Alligator mississippiensis: one gene and its partners. The protein of the gene in region 1 purifies or fractionates together with the protein of each later gene. This does not show direct contact. Links are inferred from orthologs where the notes say so. Each region holds a gene or a part of one and is shown in the gene's direction. Other genes may lie near its edges. The genes, in order: ASF1A, RBBP7 and CDIN1.

The links.
Region 2: the proteins of ASF1A (region 1) and RBBP7 purify together in Homo sapiens (affinity purification with mass spectrometry; 5 studies listed by BioGRID and IntAct, counting the BioPlex papers as one, with this or other methods). This does not show direct contact. The link is inferred for Alligator mississippiensis from reciprocal best matches to the Homo sapiens genes ASF1A and RBBP7.
Region 3: the proteins of ASF1A (region 1) and CDIN1 purify together in Homo sapiens (affinity purification with mass spectrometry; 3 studies listed by BioGRID and IntAct, counting the BioPlex papers as one, with this or other methods). This does not show direct contact. The link is inferred for Alligator mississippiensis from reciprocal best matches to the Homo sapiens genes ASF1A and CDIN1.

Annotation. Positions count from the first base shown.
Region 1 is NC_081824.1:103,481,162-103,484,907, forward strand, and holds the start of ASF1A (histone chaperone ASF1A), read left to right. Parts: upstream 1-1,111; 5' UTR 1,112-1,254; coding exon 1,255-1,363; intron 1,364-3,746. UniProt on the Homo sapiens protein: Histone chaperone that facilitates histone deposition and histone exchange and removal during nucleosome assembly and disassembly.
Region 2 is NC_081824.1:321,631,802-321,635,547, forward strand, and holds the start of RBBP7 (histone-binding protein RBBP7), read left to right. Parts: upstream 1-1,310; 5' UTR 1,311-1,410; coding exon 1,411-1,426; intron 1,427-1,528; coding exon 1,529-1,673; intron 1,674-3,447; coding exon 3,448-3,590; intron 3,591-3,746. UniProt on the Homo sapiens protein: Core histone-binding subunit that may target chromatin remodeling factors, histone acetyltransferases and histone deacetylases to their histone substrates in a manner that is regulated by nucleosomal DNA.
Region 3 is NC_081825.1:246,501,481-246,505,226, reverse strand, and holds the start of CDIN1 (CDAN1-interacting nuclease 1), read left to right. Parts: upstream 1-1,539; 5' UTR 1,540-1,740; coding exon 1,741-1,841; intron 1,842-3,746. UniProt on the Homo sapiens protein: Plays a role in erythroid cell differentiation.

The DNA of each region.
Region 1 (3,746 bases):
GTGAAATCCCCATTTGGAGAGAACACCCTCAGACCCAATATGAACATGAACTTGCAGCCCTTCCTCTGATTGGTAGCCACCAGTCAAGGGAAGAGCCCCATTGACTTCAAAAGATCTGAGCAAGCAAGTGCAGCACTTGCAAAAGGGTTGCAGGTTTGGCTCCTTACGTTCTGGGGGTCCCAGAGATGCTCCATGGTACCTAAAGGGTCAGCACAAACATTTGATCACAAGAGAAGAATTGCTGCTTATGTGTCTGTTTCCCTCAGTGAAAATAAAAAGTTATTTTCAACATCCAGCCACATTATACAGGTATAAAAATTATATAATACGTATATTAAATGTATATAGTTATATACAGGCAACCCCCACTTAACTCTCTTTGGCTTAGCGCTATTTCTCTATAACGCTCATTTAAAATTGATACCCTATTCCACTTGGCGCTCAGCGAGTTTTGTTACAACGCTCAAGGTCACCATCTTGGGTCATTAAAAACAATTGTGGTTGCCATCTTGGGTTGTCAAATACTTTTGGTTTCACTTAATGCTGGGTTTTTCAGGAACCATATAGGGTGCTAAGTGGGGGCTGCCCGTATACATGCATAGAAATGATATAAAATGCATATTTGTATCTACTCTCTTTCTCCCCACCTCTCCCTCCCCCTCTCCATCTCTCCCCATTTCTTCCCCCTTCCAACTCTTTCCCCATTCTTTTTCCCCCCTTCAATGTCTCTCTCTCTCCATCTTCTATACACAGACAAGAAGAAGAAGAAAGGAAAACAACCCTGCCTTTGGAAAAGGGACAGAGCTGGAAACGAAGCCGCCGGACAAGCCAAGCCGCGAAGAGACCCGACAGCGGCGTCAGCCACGCTGTGGGGCCGGCTCCTCCCTGCGCGCCTGTTCCGCGGGGCTCCGGCAGAGGGAGACGCGGCCAGTCGCGGCGCCGCGCGCTGCCGCGCAGCCTGTCTTGACCGTGCGGAGCGGGCGGGGCGGGGCGCGGGGGGCGGGGCTCGGGCCCGCGGGCCAATCGGCGCCGGCGCTGTCCCTTAAGCGAGGAGAATGGGGCGGCGCGGAACGGACTAGCGAGGCGGCGGCGCGCTGCGGGCGCGGGGAAGGCAGGCGGGCCGGCGGACAGGGGGCGGGGGAGCGGAGAGGAAAGAAAAGAAAAGAAAAGAAGGAAAGAAAGAGACGACAAGAAAGTTGCGGGCGGGGGGAGCGCGCGGGGGCCCGAGGCCGGGCGCAGCCCATTGTGCAGACCATGGCCAAGGTGCAGGTGAACAACGTGGTGGTGCTGGACAACCCCTCGCCCTTCTACAACCCCTTTCAGTTCGAGATCACCTTCGAGTGTATCGAGGACCTGTCGGAAGGTGAGGCCGCCCGCACCCGGCGAGCAGTGGGGCAGGGTGGAACCGGGCGGCCCGGCTCGGGGGCAAGTTGCGAGGAAGTTGTGCGAGTGGCGGGAGCCATGTTGCCAGCTTTGTGCGCGCCGGCGCCGGCGCATCGGGGCCGGGAGGCGGGCTGCGAGCGGGGTCGGGAGCTGCCGGGCTGAGGAGCGCGGGAAGCGGCGGGACCGAGCTGGGAGGAGCTGCCGCCTTCCCTTCCCCTCTCCGGGCCGCGCTCCCCAGCCCCGCGTGGTGGAGCGGCGCTAGCCGCAGCCCCTGCTCCCGCGGCGGCCTACGGCCCCCCGAGCCGCCCGGCCTCCGCTTTGCCCGCAGGCCGGCCAGGCTCTGTGGGGAGAGGGGGTGTCTTGCACCAAATAGTTGGGGGAACTGCTTTTCGGGGCACCAGCACCCTTTTTCAGGGGCAGGGAGAGAGCGCTCTGCCTGCTCCTGGATGGAGCAGGAGCCGACATACAAAGCCTGTGCCTGAAGAAGGGCGTTAGTTGGAAAAAATGTTTTTCAAGGCACCAGTGCCCTCGCACGCTTTGTATGTCGGCTCCCGCTCCCTCCAGGAGCAGGTAGAGCGCTCTCCCCATGCCTGAAGAACACTGGTGCCTGGAAAAACACTTTTTCCAACTAACGCCCTTCTTCAGGCACATGCTTTATATATTGGTGCCTAGAGAAGGCAAAACACTCTCCCTGCACCTGAAGAAGTGTGTTGGTGCCCCCAAAAACATTTTGTGATAGACTAACTAAATAGTTGGAAAAAACTGTCACCTTTACCCAAAGACGCTCAAGTCAGAAGGCACGTGGTGCTAGACTGGCTGCCAGTGGGCAAGTGGGAAGAAGGCCCTGCCAGGCCTGGGGGAACGGGGCCACTCTCAGTGCTGTCTCTGGAGGACGTCCTCCCTGGGGCAGTGCTGGGACAGGCTGGCAGAGGCTGCTCCCCCAGCCTCTCTCTAGTGATTCTTAACTGTTTCAGATGGGGGGGGGTGTGCTAACCTGGGGGATGCCAGTGCAGTCACACAGGCAATGGGGGGAGGCTAACCTGAGGCACCTCATCACCTGTGTGACTGGACTGGCACCCCCCAGCAACGACTGCCGGGCCTTGCTTACTTCCTTGCAGGGAGGAGCCTGAACCTGCACTCCTCTTGCACCTCAGGCACCCTTTAAAGGATCTCACATCCTCAGGGTACCAACCTCCTGGTTGAGAAACACTGTCTTGGTTTAAACAAGGTTTGGCCCAAGCCCCTGTGGATGTGGCAGCTGGTGCACCAGTGCCACAGCCTGTTTTTAAAGTCTGGGAGCACTAGCAGACAGGGCATATTACCTGGACCTGTGTGCCTAGGACTTCTGCCCCTCCTCTCCTGCTCTTGTGTATTTAGCTCATATTCATTACTAATGGATTTGCGTATTGAAGCAAGGATGGTTGGCATCTCAATGAGCCAAAATTTAAAACTGCCTGCTTGCTTACTTAGCAATATTAGGCTCCTGTTTTCAACTAGGAATGAAAAGCACACTACCGTTTTTCACATCCCTGCCTATTACAAGTACAGATTTTTTACTTTTGATTTTGATTTTTTTTTATACAGGTCGTTAAAGTTACAGAAAATACTAATACATGTAGTGAAGGAAGTTGCTGTTGCCTTATTTTTAATTACTACTATCCAAATACTACAGGACCTGCTGCTCGCCCCCCCACTCCCTGCACCATGTTTAAAGGGCTCGATTCGGGCAGGGAGCCCCTTCTTGGCCAAGTGGGGGGAGTTCCTGGTCCCAGGGAGGGAACCCAGGCATCCCCAGCATGTGCTGCCCCCACCCCTACAGCTCAGCCCATGTTATTTCAGTGAGTTTATACTAGAGTTATCTGCAATTCTGATTTTTTTTCAATGGATCAGGGGGCCCCCCAAAATTGTGGGCGGGCCCTGATCAATTTTTCTCTCCAAATGTTATTTAATTTTTAAATGGAGTCCATTCAGTTATGCCAGTTTAAGATTCCTTGCATCCATCAATACCTTTTTAAATGGTTTTAACTGAAAAGTTTTATGCTTTAAAATGTACCACTTAAAAAAAAAAAAAAAAAAAAGTTGCAAAACAAGTTGTGGTTTGTAGATAATATAAGCTATCAGTCCACAATTAATTTTATACTGGCTTAATAACTTATAATAAATGTGTTCGAGAGAATCTTAGCCTTTGCTGTCCTCTCCTCATAAGACTTAAGGCGCTGTCCTCAATAGGACAGCCAGACTGGGTCAGGTCACTAGACATTTTTGTCTGGTGACTTGTCTTTGCAGTAACCCAAACCAGATGCTTCAAAGGTAGGCAAAAACAACCTAGTTTGGCACACTAAGCTGGAAGAAAAATTATGTCA
Region 2 (3,746 bases), about 220 Mb from region 1:
AACCAATGATGAATCCCAGATCCAGACACACTGGAACAGGACTGGCCAATTGGCAGCCTGGAGAGGTCAAATTGTGGCCGGCAGGGCTTGTTGGCGTAACTCCACAACCCGGGCAGGGTCACCACAGCTCCTGCCCCCCGGCCTGCTGTCAGATTGAGGTTGTTGGCCACTAAAAACTGGCAAAAGAGGAAAGGCAGCAGGGTTGGTGTGACCCCTGAGTGGCCAAGGTGGGTCATCTGGGCCCAGGGAAGCTCTGCTGCCTGCCTCTGGCCTGCAGGGCCAGAGGAGTTGGGGCACACTCTACTTCTGCGCCGCTGGGGTGTGAGCTGAGCTTGTTCTGGGGGTGGCAAGGCACAGTCTGGCCAACCAGGGGGCTGGGGCAGGTATCCCGGCACTGGGAAGGACTGGGGAGGACGGGCAAGTCCCAGCCCTCTTTTGGTGAGGAGCAAAGTGCCAAGCGTCTGCTGGGCCTGGCAGCAAAGGGGGAAAGCTTGGCAGGAAGGTTTCAAACACCAGAGGGACAAAAAGAGCATCCTGAAGCGCCCCCTCAGAGACAGGCAGCAGCCCCCAGCAATGCTGCCCTGTGGGGGCAGGAGTCCAGGTGACTTAGGGACAAGTAGGCGGGAGCCACGGTGTGATGTGCATTGTCAGGTCTTAAATATTAAATTATCATATTTGCTCAAAAACTATCATACACTGAAAATTATGCAGACACATGCAAACAAGTATGCAGATAAGCCTTTTTTATTTATTTTTTATTGCTCACTGCAACTGGCCAGGGAGTGAGTGAGGTGTGGGTCATGCAAGTTGAAACATGCTTTTATTTCAAGGCAAGTAGTCATGGGGGAGTACCAGCAACACGCCCAGAGGGTTCCCGGTGAGTCGTGACTCGGGTTTTGCATGTTAGTTGCCTCCATTATTGCCTCAAAAAGTACTGTACATTTTGAACACTTTTCCTATTATTGATTGTACATCGTAGAAGGGTTGAAATGACGGTGTAAATTCTCAGACACCCAGCAACAATGGCTGTGCCCAGCACCCCCCGCTAACGGGCGCTGATCTGCCACGTTCACCGTTTACGGCTCCCCCCGCCCTCCACGACAGTGCACTCTACTGCGCATGCGCTTAACGCCCTGTCAGGCGGGAGAAGAGTGGAAGGAGGGCGCGTGCGCAGGCGACGCTCGGTCGCCGGCGGGCAAGTGGGGGTGGGGTTCTTGTGTTCCGCGGAGGCCGGCCGCAGGAAGCGGACGCAAGCGCAGGCGGCGTCCTGGCGTCGAGGCGGGGCGGTGGGTGCTGCGCATGCGCGCGGGTGGGAAGGCGGGAGCCGAGTTTGGAGCGGGGCGTCTTGAGCGCGCCTGCGCAGCGGCTGGCGCGGGGCGCGAGATCGGCCCCGCCTCCACCCCTCGCGCGATGGCGACCCGGGAGGGTAAGTGGGGAGGTGGGGTGGGGGAAGGGGGAGGGCAGGACAGGGGGTCTCGAGCTTGAGGGAGCCATTGGCCGGGACCTGATGCGGCGGTTGGGCCGGCAGTGGCGGAGGAGCCGGCGGAGGAGCGGGTGATCGGTGAGGAGTACCGCGTGTGGAAGAAGAACACGCCCTTCCTCTACGACCTGGTCATGACCCACGCGTTGGAGTGGCCCAGCCTCACCGTGCAGTGGCTGCCTGACGTCACCAGGTGAGGCGGGGCCCCTTCCCCTGCCCCCGGGCACGCGAGGCGGGGCCTCAGTTAACGGTCCTGCCCCTGAGCGTTCTAGGGCCGTTAACGGCCCCGCCTCGGAACGTTCCAATGGGGGCCCCTCGGCCCTGCCCTGTTCCACGTGGGGCTGTTTCTACCTGTGCAGGAGGCAAGAGGCACCCCATGGCAGCTGTGCTGTGACACGGATGCTGAAGCCTGCTGGCCTCTTGTCCTGCTGAGGGGGCTTAGACCCCTTGCAGGTGTCCATCAAGAAGTTGGGGTGCTCCTGAGAGCTCCCAGGAGCCATAGCTGCCCCATGACTGCCACACATGGGCAGCCTCCCTTACTCTGAGGAGGGGAGAGGAAGGAAAGGGATGGCAGCCCAGCTGATGAGGCAGGGGTGGATCTTGGAGCAGCTGATGGGGCAAGGGAAGGGTGTGGGGCTCATGTTGCCATGCATCTGCCAAAGCAGTTGCCCTCCCCTGCTGTGATAGAGGATATTCATCTCTGTGCTGTTTTCTCTAACGGTTGTACATTTTGATGTTCCAAGTAGCATCTTGAAATAAATACCTACTGGGTGTCAGAACAAAGTCAAAGGCCGGGGGGGGGGGGGGGGGGGGTGTGTGTGTGTGTGTGTGTGTGTGTGTGTAGCTCGTGTTTTACAGTACAGCTGGGGTGCAGTCATTGGAGAATTGGCGCGGGTTTGTTTTTCCTCTAAAATCATAGTTTGTGTAAATGATGGCTTTACATCTATTGTTATTTTAGCATGTGAAAGTATTTGGGCTTGCAAGGACTTGAGAACAGGAGGCTGGGAAGGAGAGAGAAAGGTTAACTAAGACCCTTGTGTGAAGTGCTTCTGCTTACCTCGCATATTAATGGCTTGACTTTTTTAAAATAGCTAGTTTTAATTGTATAGCTAGTGTCACAATATGTAAATCACTTAAAACCAACATGGTCCCTTTTGAGTTTCATCTGCCATGATGGGAGGCTTATTCATACAGGGGTGAGGAGAGCATTGGATGCAGTATAGCAATGGGATTGTGAACTGTTAGGGTTTTTTTTCCTCCAGAAGCTTTGTTTGGTCTGTACTGGGCCTTTGCTTTCTTGAACACAGAAATTGCTTTGAGTCTTAAGGCGCTACCTTCTTTCACAGTTTATTAACTGTCATTTGCTACTGAAGAAACAATAGTCTAGAAGTCTCCTGATTCCATTTTTAAGTTACAGCATAAAATTGTGGGCATGTTTTTTTGGTTGTTGGTAGATAATGCACGTTCTGCTGTAATTTCTAACTTATTCCCCACAACAGTTTCCTAGTAATAGACCATATTTAAACATTCAATATTGTTTTCTAAGCTACTCATGTTTTTGGTTTTTGTTTGGAAAATCTTTACATGAGAACAAAAATCTCATGTCCTGCCCTTCTCAGGTACTAATGTCAAAATGCCTTTATTTAATCTTTTTGTGCAAATAAAAAGTCATAATTCTGCTGTTCACATAGTAATGAAAATCATTATAAAATTATTTTGGGATTGTCACTCCAATTTTGGCAAAGATTTATCTGTCATGTCTACAGTGCTGTGAACCTCTGCAGTTCAGCTTAAGCTCTTATACTAGTATTCCTAATATGGCAGAAAAAAAGTGCTCTTTGAATTAATCTCTGGTCTCCTAGACCAATTGGGTGTCACGGGCAAACTTTGTAGCAAAAAAAATAAGTTAAAAAAAAACAAACCTGAACTCTTTGACTATTTTGTATGACTATTGTTTTATCGAGCAGGCCAGAAGGAAAAGACCATGCCCTTCACTGGTTAGTGTTGGGAACACACACCTCTGATGAACAGAACCATTTGGTGGTTGCAAGAGTCCAGATTCCTAATGATGATCAGTTTGATGTCTCTCAATATGATAGTGAGAAGGGAGGTAGGTTTTGCAGGCATTTTCAGTGTGTATTCTTCTAGCCACAGTGGTAAATAATGCATATCTTATTGAATTACATTCTTACTTGAAATATTTTTTTTTAATTAAATGTCTGGTTTTAACATACGTGTATACTGCAACTTGTTTACTAGCATACAC
Region 3 (3,746 bases), on another chromosome or scaffold:
TGGTACATATTTCTGCAGAGGAATGCTGAAATGGAAATAAACCACTATTTTCATATAAACTTAAAATATTTTTATGTATCTAGGTCACAACTCTTAATGTTAATATAACTGCTTAATGGATGACTCTTGTGCTGACACAGACCCCTCCTGAAGTCTATATGACCATGAATGGACACAAAGTCTCCTGCACATATACACGTGCAGCATTGGAGGGTTAATTAGGAACCAATACAACAAGTCCTTCTGAAAGTGCTCTGGCATTACCAGCATGCACAAAGTCACCACAAGTCTGGCAATATTTATCATTTCTTTATCATTTTTCTAAAGCTCCAGATCTTGCAGCCCTGTGGAAACCTGTTTTCATTTTTATTTTTTACGTTTTTGGCTCCCAGGTTCTCCAAGAACACTGGAAAACATAAACCCCCAAAGGCTTGAAATCCAACGGCAAATAAAAAGAACTCAAGTTTTTTTTTTTTAAGTCTCCCGATTTTAAAGCCAATTTTATAGATTTGGGGAGTAAGGGAGGCAGATTCAGGATCTCTGGCAGTACTGTTATTTATATGTACTTTCTGCAGCAGCCCAGGCCCATTACAATCAACATGAATATTTCCAGAGATAGAGTGAAAGAGAAGCATCAAGTTTCTGCACGGTTAACCCGTAGTCTGCAGCTGAGGTTCTGTACTTCAAGGGAGCCCAGTCCTCCACGAACCTTAGATCTTAAATGCAAAGCACTTCAATCAGGGGTCTGCTGCCGGAGCCTGCATATACTGTCTTTTGTAATGCCCGAAACAGGCTAAAACCAGGGCCTAACACTTGTGAAGCTGGTGAGAACATAAGCAACTGACTGATTTGTTTTGAAGACATAAGGCAGAGGTTCTCAAACTTTGTCATACCCGCGACCCCAAGCGCTGGGTGGCAGCAGCGGTGCACGGGGGGAGAGCTCGCACACGGCAGCCGCCGCCACCATCCACCACTCTGCACCACTGCACGTACCCCCTGGGAAGTTTGCTGCCCCCTTTAAGTTGCTTGTGACCCCCCGAGGGTCACGACCCACAGTTTGAGACCCCCTGGCACAGGGGAAGGGTTTTGCGGTCCTCGTGCCTTGGAGGATCAGAATAGCAAAGATGTCCTAGGCCCGAAGAAGGGCGACTGTGCCCAAAAGCTTGCCAAGATCTTTCCCCCCCCCCAAGACTCGGTCTAATAAAAGCTAGCACGTCCATCCAAAGAACCTGGCCTGCCATAAGAAAGGCAGCTCTGATGGTCCCAATGACCTCAACGGGGCTTTGCCCAGGAAGAGGGGGTCACAAGGCGGGAGTCCTGAAACAGACGGTGGCAGAGGTCGGCAGAGCCACCACAGAAGGCGCAGGCCCACCCGGGACAGCGGGCCAGGCGGCAGGAGCGAGGGCGCGTGTCAGGCGTGAAGAGCAGAGCGCGGGCAGAGCTGGGCCCGCGGCCGGGGCGGCGCCGCCCGAGAGGGAATGGGAGCGGGCTCCGCCCCGCTCGCCGCGGCTCCCTCCCCCTGCCCAGCCTGCGGGGCGGGGCCGCAGCTGCACGGCGCATGGGCGCCCGGCTGCGGGGCTGGCTGCGTGACAGGCCACGGCGCCGCTTCCTCCTGCCTCCAGGCCGCCGCCGCCGGAGCGCGGCGCTGCTCCCTACCGCCGCCCCCTGCTGCTGCTGCTGCAGCTGGTGCTGCACAGGCCGGCCCAGCTGCGGGCGGGGGAGCTGCTGTGCGGCTGCGGCATGAAGTTGAGCAAGGCGCAGTACGAGGAGATCGCCCGGTTCCTGGGGCACGTGCAGCCCACCCGCCAGAGCCTGAGGCGGCTGAAGGAGCGATTCCCCAGGTAAGCCGCCGCCGCCCGCCCTGCTCTGCTCTACTCTGCTCCCGGCGCCGCCCGCGCGGGTGTGGCGGTGGCCGGCGGCCTCATGGCCCTGAACGGTGCACAACCACAGCCACGCCCCCGCGCCCTGGTCCTGGACCTGCTGCGAAATAAAGGCTGCCCGGTTCCCACAGTGCTTCTGGCCTGCTGCCTTGGCCCCTGTTTGCGGTGGCACCTGCCTGACTTGGGGTGTCGCTCCCCGTTTCAAGCGACCTTCAGACCAGCAAGCCCACTTCTGCATACAGCTCTCTCTCTCAGGTTGAAGGCAAAGGCCGGGACCTGCTTACACAAGTATCCACCTGCTTTCACATCTCCCAAACTTTACCTGTTGAAGGCACATGAATACATTTTGGGCTTAAAACACCAGCAGGGCCTGCTTGGTGATGAGCGGAGCCTCATCTCCCAGTTTTGTTTTTGCCCAGCTAGAATAGCGCCATGCATCTGTTACCCTTCTCCTGAAAACACCGCTTTATCCCTGTGGTTTTTGGGAAGAGGCAGCTGACTTGTAACAAGGGGGCAGCGGTAGACAGGCAGCATTTCCTGGGTTTTAATCTCAGTGGGGTACGTGCACGTTCTGTTACCCTGCATTGGGACTTTCTTTTGGGGGGGCATTTATTTTCAATTAACAAGGCTTCTGAAGCGTGGGATGGATACCTCTGACCAGATAAGAGCATCAGTCACTTACCACATGAAATATTTGAGGGGAAAAAATAGGCGGTCCCTTGCACTATGTATGGTTATTTAAAAAAACCCCAACAACAACCTCCTGAGCAAATAATTCACAGCTTCTATTGTTAAGGCCAGGAATCATGGTGATTAATCCACAGGACTGGAATTAGGATCTGGATTCTATTTCCAGCTCCTCCCTCCAGTTCTGTAACTGGGCAGGCCCTTCAAAAAGGCGCAGTGGACCTCCTGAGAGGTGGATGTGCAACATTCAGGTTCTAACTTTCTCTGCTTTTATTCCTCTGTAAAATGGGAATAAAAATAATTCCCTCCCTCAGGGGAATACCACAGGGGTACGTTCATTATTATTTCTGAGGTGCTTCAGATCCCTTGGTGGTCAACGCAGAAGAGCCAGCATAAATACGCTGCTAAAGTGCTCCCTTTGCCTTGCATACCTTGCTCCAATTTGCAGTTTAGCTGTTTTTCATATCAGCTTCGCTGTAGGATAAAATGAATGGTACTAAACACTTTTTGAAAAATGAGTGAATGTAGTCCAAGTAAATTGCATTGAAGTAAAAGTCCTTGTTCCCTCAGTGTGTTCTTTCATAGGAAAGAAACTAGAAAGCAGCAGAGTTGGTTTTTCAACATCGTACTACCAAGAAGTGTCAATGCTGTCCTGAGTAAGAGAATAGTCTGACCTTCCTTTTCATTTGCTCATTAACTTATTTGCTTGGATTGCAAGTCAGCATGTGAATGGTGGTTACAGTTTATTAGATGGTGACAACTGTCCACTGGGAACCATCAACTTCTTTAGAAGATCCCAAATACATTTTGAAGCATTGTAGTCTGTTCGGTATGGGGAGAATTTTAAGCATTTATCCTGCTTGTAACTTCTGATAAAATGACTAGCAGTTACCTTTAATGTTGGTATTTAAATATACAGATGAAGCACCTTTCTGTTCTCTGAAATCGAGGCCATAGTAATACATTTCCACATACTATGTCTTTAATTTAAAAATCCTAAAATTCAAGGTTAAAAATCTGCAGTGGAGGAGAAGTGCTAGGAGTGAAGTGCTTCAAAGAGTTCTTTGGGTAATGAAGTTGAGAACAAAGTTAAGCGTGTTAGACAAATACTACAATAGGATGGTTTAGTCAGGGATGAGCCTGCCTTCTAGCAGTAGCTTGGACTAGATGACCTCCCTT